Nothobranchius furzeri: one gene and its partner. The protein of the gene in region 1 interacts with the protein of each later gene in a pairwise test. Links are inferred from orthologs where the notes say so. Each region holds a gene or a part of one and is shown on either strand. Other genes may lie near its edges. The genes, in order: garem and grap2a.

Region 1 (4,540 bases):
TCAGAAACCTCTATAGGGAGCCTAAGTCACGTCCTTCCGGACCATGGGTCCTCAGCTGCCAAGAAAATTGAAATTGAATATTTTCTGATCCTGTTTGATCTGTTCAGGGGACCCGTGAGCCAACCGGAGGGCTCCTTATATCTGACACGTTTCATCTCAGCCTTGCCAAATAAATCCAGATGATTTTACTTTCTTACGTGCACAGACTTGCAGATTTGATTTAAAATAAAGTAGATCTAACGTACCTTTTCAGCATCATCCAAGTCTTGGTTCAGAAGATGAAGGCAACCAATGTCAAAGTAAATTTTGGAATTTGGTTCTTGAATGGATAAGAAAATGCAGAGGGCTTCTGACCATTCCTGTCTGTCGGCACAAGTTACAGCTTTGTCCCACTGCCGCAGAGTGTCCACATAAGACATGTTTGTTGGCTTACCAGCACACTGATTCTACATTGAGGAAGTTCTTCTTATTTGTACCAGTGAAACTGGGAAGTGTGATGACAGCTGTTACGATTTACAAATGCATCACAATCAGCTCTAAGTGCTAAAGCCACATTTAAATTATTTTCTCCCGTTCAGTGCAATAATTGCACTCTAACTTACTGCTGATGTACCAAACAATTTGCACATTGTGTCCAGGAAATATGTATATTTTTATATCTACTTTTTCAGATGGTCTTGTGTTTATTTTTTATCTGGTATGTCAAATGCTCTATTTGAGTTCCATCAATATTAGCCTACAGTTAACAAAAGCTTTATGATTTAGATTCTAGAGATTTTCTATCTTTGAATAAATTGTGGGTTTAAATGTGTGTGTGTGTGTGTGTGTGTGTGTGTGTGTGTGTGTGTGTGTGTGTGTGTGTGTGTGTGTGTGTTTAGCTCTAAACTAACGTTGGCATTTTATAAGCAGAAAAGCTTGAGATGCATAATGAAAAATGTTTCACATCTAATTGATTTCTAGTATTTTTTAAATAATTATTTTTTAACTTTATTTTGTAAATTTACAAACAAACATGGCACTTTGACAATGTTAAATCCAAAACTCAAATTGATTTCCAGTGTTGTAACGACCTTAACTTTGATGACATTCAGACATTTTTACTGAAATAAGTAATGTTCAGATTATTGTTTGTTCTTCTTTAATAATTCTAAATTTATTGAGCTGCAATATTTATTTAGTAAATATATGATGTGTTTTTGTGCCAAATGCACAAAAACAACTTCCGGGTTTTTCCTTTCAAAATAAATTTCTTGTGACATGACTATAATCACAAAATACTGGTGCGTTTTCTTACAACACTAACATCATATTATAAATGTGTATTTATATATTCTCAAGGAATTCAACGATTTCGCCTTTCAATAATAACGTATCTTCTTTACTTGAATGTATAAAATGCTCTTATTTTGATAGAGTAAAAACGTTTATCCGTTAGCTCATCGCTAGCTAAACAAACATGGCTCTACTACACTTTCGGAGTACGAACCTTTATGATGCGTAGAACAAATGAAAATTGGAGCTATGTAAGGATTAACAAGAAATAAGTCATGTTTGGTATGACTGTTTAGATTAAGTTGCTATATTATTTGTGTTGGTAGCTCGGAGCACCCTTTTGTGTCCGTATTTACACACAGCTAGCTCCAGAGTTGGCTAATGTGAGCTAACAAGATGGACCTTGGAACAATGTTGTACAATAATTTGAAAGATGTTACTTGGAGCTCAACGTCTTTACCTTTGGATCAGCTTGTCAGTGCATATAAAATGCCCCAAATCGTCAAACTGGACAGCGGTTAGTAACTTTGTTATTATGCATTTAAAGCAGTCATCTTTGCGCTAAACATCAACAAACTGTTAAGTTGGTGTTTATATATATATATATATATATATATATATATATATATATATATATATATATATATATATATATATATATATATATATATATATATATATATATATATATATGTATGTCTTAATGATGCTTACATTCTCAAGCATTTTGTAGCCAAAGTGCTGCATCTGCTTGACAGACTACATTATTGTACCACAGCAACTTTTTATTATTGAATGCTTTCATGCATCCTCACATCACAACAAAACATCTTGATTTATGGTCAGCACTGATCCGCTTCTCAAGACTGCATTTATGTCACTCTAGACTATCTGAAGCATTGAAACTGTCAAAATGAATAATTAAACAGATGTATCAGCCACAGTCACATTTAGTTGTCTATTAAATAGATATCTTTATTTTAAACTCTACCAAACTGCCTTGTTGCTGTATTATAATGTTCAGAAATCTGTAAGATAACCGAAAATCTTTTTATTTTATTTTATCAAATGTCATTCTAATCACAGCCAATAAGTAAAAAGTTTCCTATATAAGGAACCCAGCAGGTTGCATCGAGTCACTGACTAGTGTCAGAGTCTTTACAGCAATCCTCATACTAAGCAAGCATTTAGCGACAGTGGAGAGGGAAACTCCATTTTAACAGGAATAAACTCCAGAGGATCCTGGCTCAGTATAAGCAGCCATGTAAATTTGTTACTGACTCCTGCAGGTGCGCAGATATTTTACATGTTATGCACAGAGAACATCGCAGAGGTAATCAAGATTTCTATCAGTGCATCTGAGCATAATCTCACACTTTCTCCTTATCTTGCTGCTGACAGTGTGCCCAAGTAGTGCGCTGAAGGGAGCTCAGAGAGCGTCTGGCGCACTCGACATCGTGCACAATAGCGCAGTGTTGAGTGGAAACCCTTCTATCTTTCCGAGAGTCTGGTATACTTCTGTTTATGTGTCATTAAATAATTAGATTTTTAAACTTTGGCTTAAATAGTGCTTGTTATCCAGCAATTGCCTTGAATCCAGCGTGTCAGCGGACCGCAGATTCATCCATAACAACATTTAAACATCCACAAGTCTGTCTGAAACAAAAGCCCAGAACCTCATAACCTCTTCAGCAAACTCCCTAGAGACATTTGATTACGCACAAGCTGGAGGTGACCTGTTAATGTTTACGTACAGGCCAATGCAGGTAAAATGTTCCTAATTTAAGTGAATTGTTTAATTGCATGTTTTATATGTTACAGGGGCACTCTGCTCAGCTTGTTTGGACTAAATATTAATTTTAAATGAATTAAAATTTAACGGTATTGAAGGATGAATGGATGATGCAACCTCTGGCTGTGAGCAAGTGCTCCCTCCTTGAGTGCATCCAAATGCAGCAGCGATTCATTTCATTTCCTACTCACACTCATAAAAGAAAGAACCAGGTAGCCTATGTTCAGAAAAAAAAAACATTTTGTTTAACCCTCCCACTGTCCTAATGGGTGTGACTCCGCAAGGAAAGTTGACCATTGAGTGGAGTTGATGGTTTTAACCTGTTTTTAGAAACAGGCTCAAGACCCTTCTTTTTAGCTTAGCTTTTAACTGATTACTATCACTTTTTAAATAAATAAATTAGGTTATTTATTTATCTATTTGTTTCTTTTATGTATTCTTTTTTTTAACAGAGCTTTTAGTTATTTTATTATTTTTAAATGTCTTAATGGTCTTGGGCCTTCTTATCTCTCAGAACTGCTTCATAAATACGAGCCTTCGCGGTCGCTGCGCTCCTCTGGCAGCCGTCTCCTAGTCATTCCAAAAGTCAGGACACACTCCCAAGGCGAGGCGTCCTTCCAGTTTCATGGCCCTCGCCTCTGGAACAGTCTGCCAGAGGACCTCAGGGCTGTAGAGAGTGTTCTTGTTTTTAAGGCCGGGCTCAAGACTCAACTTTTTAGTATAGCTTTTAAGTGATTTTGATCTATTTTAGCCAGTTTTACCATCTTTTATATATTTTATCAGTGTTTTATTACTTACTCTTTTAATTAAATAACACATTTTCTTACATATTTATTTTAACTTGTAATAATTATTAGTTTTAACCAGTCTTAATACTTTGTTGTACAATATTTTATAAATTTAATTATATGTTTCTACTAGGTTATCTTTTATCACTGTGTTTTATTTAGATTTTTATTTATCAGCTGTTTATGTTTAATTTGTTTCTTAACTTGTTATCTTAGTCTCATTAGTAAACCAGTGTTTCCTCTGTGGGGGCTGGCTGCCCCGGGGGCAGCGGTGGGCTGTGGAGGCCGGGGTGCTTCCCATGTCTACTCTAGCCAAGGCTATTGCTGCCAATCTTGGTGCTTCCGGTGCAGTTGGCTCCTTTGATGGCATTTTCGTCTTCTTTGTACCTACTACATCTGCACTCAGCCAGCTGCCCTTTATTACGTGTGTGTGTGTGAGCGCGCGTGCGTGTGCGTGCGGGAGTTTGCATCTGTTTGGGACGGGATTGAGGATGGGAGGAGGGAGATACAAAGGGGATCCCTTATGTGAATCAGTGTGGGAGGGGTGGGAAACCGACTGCTTTGAGCTGCATTTGCATGAAAAGTGCTTCATAAATAAATTTTGATTTGATTTATTTATATATATTTTTTTTAAACCATAGATTTATGATTAACATTATTTTAATATATATATATATAATTTTTGTAT
Region 2 (4,399 bases), on another chromosome or scaffold:
ATCAGGTCAGAATCATGATCCACGTGGGAAGGCTAACAGTAAGCCAGTCCAGGTGAAAAGGTTTGATCTCCTCAAAAACAGAAGAGAAGCCTCGGTGTCTGCTTCAGTGGTTTAACAAACAGGCAGTAAATCAAACCAGGTCATAAACAGTCAGCCTGAACTCACATGGAAGTGAAACGCCTTTCATCTGAAACGTGGAAAAGTAAAAGTAATAAAAGCTTTTAATAATCAGAGACTGCAGGCAGCAACGCGCTCAGCTTCAGGGAAGCGGGAGGCAGACGGTATGAGTAGAAAATAAAGAATCGTGAAACACGATTCCCAATGCTCGGATGAATTAAGCTTAGTGACTGTTTTCAAACTGGCTCTTTTATCTTCTGACATCTTAGATAAATGTAAAAAAATCTGATCTGTCTGTCTCATATCGGTTTATTCAACCGTGGAAGTGTTAAGGGCGGACCCAGTAGAAGTTTTTGCATGAATTAAATTAGTTGTTTTAGATGCTCCATCAAAAGGACTGTAGCGGTTCCAGAAACGTTTTCAAACATTCAACAGATCAAAGTCTTGGTGAGAATTCAAACAAGTCCAACGAGTCAACGTAAAAAATCTGGGAGATGCACCCATTCAGCTTCTGACAGCCGATACCCAACTCTGGTTTATTAAACCAACCAATGTTACTTTAAAATCTCTGATGAATGAAATCTGAAAGTAAAAACACCTACATAGTGTTGTTGCTAGCACCATGGCTAGCACTTAGCAACGCTGACTATGTGGACGTGGAAAAATGCCAGATTGTTTTCACTGATGGTTGGTAATAGTGTGTTTATAAACCAGTGAAAATAAAATATCATTTTGAGTATCAAAGTAGCTGAGATCATGCATTTCTGGGAAAAAAAGTGTTGTAAACCTAAACAACAGTCAGTCAAAGAAAAGCATCGCAGACGTCAGTCTGGGGACAGAACGCTGCACTTTTAGAAATTTTGACTGAGTGGGTACATAACAGTATTATTATTCTATATACAAAAAGACGAACCTTTACCATGTTCAAAAACTCACCAAATGTATACCAAACATAGATTTTGCGTGAAAATATATTTTAAAGGCGCCGCAAAAATTGCAAAGGAAATTGCTCAACAGCGACCCCTGGAAGCGGGAAAAATCTGCATCCCAATGTACTTTTTTTTCATAGTAGATGTGTGAATTTTAATACACTTGTAGTACTCCCCAAGACGCACAGAAAAGTATCCTGTAGCCATGGTCAAGACCAAACAGGAAGTCGGCCATTTTGGATTGAAGTTGCGCTTTTGAGCCCGAAATGGCTGTTTGTAGGGTCTGCATACGATGGCAGTAATCCTTAGATTACCAGAAAAATTTGCTTTTTGTAAATGTGGAGGGCCTCAAACTTTGACTACTTGCCAAAAAATATAAATGTGTCATGAACAGAACTCAGAAGACCCGTAATGACGCCCAACACAGTAAAATTCCTTTAAAGTCTTTATTTGGATGAGGAGTTACGCGAGGAGGGCGAGGCAGGAGACAGAGTCGGAGGGCAGGCGTGAGTAAACCAGATCGGCACAAGCAGGTACAGGGAACAGGCTGGAGACGTGGCAGAAGACAGGCGAGGGTCGTGATGGCAGGCAGAGTTCAAGGCAGGGGTCAGGAGAAAAACGAGGTCCGGAGGCAGAGATCAGGCAGGGTGGATGGCTGGAGAATTTACTGGGAAAGGCTTTCAATAACCTGGCACTGAATGACTGGATGGCTGGTTCTTTTGTAGCAGGGGAAGCAGGTGTGAGTGATGAGCTGAGGAGTCAGGAGCAGGTGAAGTGAATGAAGCTGATGACAGGAACAGGTGAGATGAATGGAGATGATTGTGGTCAAAGTATGACATCATCAAACCCCTGCCCCCTCAGGACTGAAAAGGTCATGTTTTACTCGGAAAAGTCCCAATTCACCTATTTCATGGAATCAACACACATCTTTTGCGGGTAGCTGAAGACAAGTGAGGGTTGCTTGCAAAACAATAATTTGGTCTGGTTCACTAGGCTAGGTAGGAGACCAGACGTGGTTGGATTTCCGACAAACATCACAACTTCTCATTTTTATTTACCTGGTTGGAATTTTATTGTATTTTATATCTAAACTAGATTTCATGTCAGCTCACTTCCTCCACCACACACAGTGTGTGTGTGTGTGTGGGGGGGGGGGACATTGACCTCCCATACAAACTATTTCTGATGGCAAACTTCCACCTGATGCAGATAAAAACTTAATGAATAACTAAATCTAGACATGAGCTCATTGGTTGTTTTTTTTCCTCACAGAAAACGTTTCCCAAAGCAAGAAGAGAAACATTCAGTTCAAATTCAAACAGGAGCCTCTGACACACGGAATAAGAAATAAAACGGTAACTTGATGTGTTTGTTTATCTGCCTCAAAATAGGAGCACGACTTTTTACCACCAGAGAGAAAGAAACAAGGACAGCTAAAGTTCTGTTCTAGAAGTGTCTGTAAGCACGTGTGATGTTTCAGATCTGAGAAAAGAACAGAGAAGTGAGAAACAGACAGAAAGAGGAAGAGGAGTCAACCGACCCGAACCTTACTCATCTGGACTCAGAGGCTTTTATTTTTAGGATTTGGGCTGTTTTCCTTACCTTGAACTTCTGTTCGTCCTGATTTTATTCTCTGAGCTGCTCAACTTCTCCCTCCTGACTGAGAGCCCCGCAGCATCATTCAGAGTCCAGAAGATCCGTCCAACCAGGCCAGGTCCACACGGGTAGCCCAGGTTCTGGCTCAGAGGCCGAGTGGAGAGGAAGATGAGAGAGATCCGCGAGACTGGTGCTTCAGAAACAGAAGAACCGCCTTTCTCCAAAAGCAAATTAGATAACATCCGTCTGAAGAGACCTAGAGCCGCAGAATGAAAGCTCAGCACAGCGCCCTCTGCAGGCCACACACCCAAAAACTCTACCCGCTGAATGCGGAAAATTACAAATAAATCATCATCATCATCATCATCAGTAAAGTTTTTAAAAAAGAACTCAAAAAATGGTTAAAGTCTAAACAACAATGTCTACATGAATAGTTTAAAACTTACATTGATGCTCAAATTGCCTTATTTTTCTTTTTTATTGAAAATTGTTTGAAATTTTAATCTGTTTTCTGTTTGATTCATTGTTGATTTCTTTGTACAATGCATCTGGTTTGTCCAATATACTTGCTGTGTCCATGTCAAATAAACATCACATCATCATGCGGCTCTTTAATCAATACTGCAAATAAGTTTAAATGCCATATTTGAATATGATTATTAATAAAAATTCCTCATCAGCATAAAACTGCAGGAATGATTCAACTGTGACGATATTTTGACTCTGCTGATTAGAATGGTGCTTTATAGCAGAACTAGTGCAGAAACCAAGTTTAATCACAAACAAAATAAATTTGTTTTTGTAGCTGTGGCAGTCTGGAGTCAGGATCTACAACAGATGTCCTCTGGAAATCCCTAAAGGGCTCAGATGAGTGTCACGTTTTCAGGCTGCTTTTGGTTTAAAGGGATGACTGTAAGTTAATGATCAGATTCAACTGAATAACAGCAGAAATAAATCCATCTATAGGAACATAAATACATATCTTCAGATGCAACGATTTATGGTTTTAGGGCCGATGAAGATTTCTGATTCTTCTACAGTGGGATGCGAAAGTCTGGTAAGCCTTGTTAATCTTCATGATTTATTTTGTATGAATCGTTGGTTGTTATGATAAAAATGTCCAGTTTACTTTATCATAAAGGAGACACACACAGTGATATCTGAGAAGTGAAACAAAGTTTATAGGATTTACAGAAAGTGTAATAATTATTTAAACGAAAATAGGCAGGTGCATAACTGTGGGCACTTTTGTCATTTCATTGATTCCGAAACTTTTAGAATTAATTATTAGAACCCAAAATTGGTTTAACTCTCTGGAAGCAGGCGCTGCAGATTTGCAAGGTTAAAACCCGCCTACCTGGTTACTCCACGTATTTCATGAGCATGTTTTAACTCAGATGTACTCCTGAAGGACTTAGTTGTTCGTCCTTTTAACAAAACTTATTTTGAGCCTGAGAGCAGCGCCGCCACTGTCCATACGCAAGGTACGCAGAGTGCGTAGGGCCTCGGTACCTGGTGGGCGGGGGGTGGGGGGCAAAAAATTATTACAGATTTCAGTTATTGTTACAGCAGCATATTGCAGAAAACATACAAATTAGTTTCCCACCGTTTGAGCTGTTGAGAGTTATCTTAATTTTGTAGCCCGTCAGTCACAATTCGGGCTAAATAGCTATTCTTATAATTTACAAACATTACCCCCGCAGCCAGTAGCGGTTTTAGGCACGGGCAGACAGGGCAGTTGCCCGGGGCGGCATTTT

The links.
Region 2: the proteins of garem (region 1) and grap2a interact in binary tests that used the Homo sapiens proteins (3 or more experiments, as listed by UniProt). The link is inferred for Nothobranchius furzeri from reciprocal best matches to the Homo sapiens genes GAREM1 and GRAP2.

The regions. Positions count from the first base shown.
Region 1 is NC_091747.1:36,778,172-36,782,711, forward strand, and holds the start of garem (GRB2-associated and regulator of MAPK protein 1), read left to right. Parts: upstream 1-1,471; 5' UTR 1,472-1,668; coding exon 1,669-1,789; intron 1,790-4,540. Other genes in the region: ncf2 (neutrophil cytosol factor 2), read right to left, coding at 246-419.
Region 2 is NC_091745.1:28,837,334-28,841,732, reverse strand, and holds the start of grap2a (GRB2-related adapter protein 2a), read right to left. Parts: upstream 2,879-4,399; 5' UTR 2,649-2,878; intron 1-2,648. UniProt on the Homo sapiens protein: Interacts with SLP-76 to regulate NF-AT activation. Binds to tyrosine-phosphorylated shc.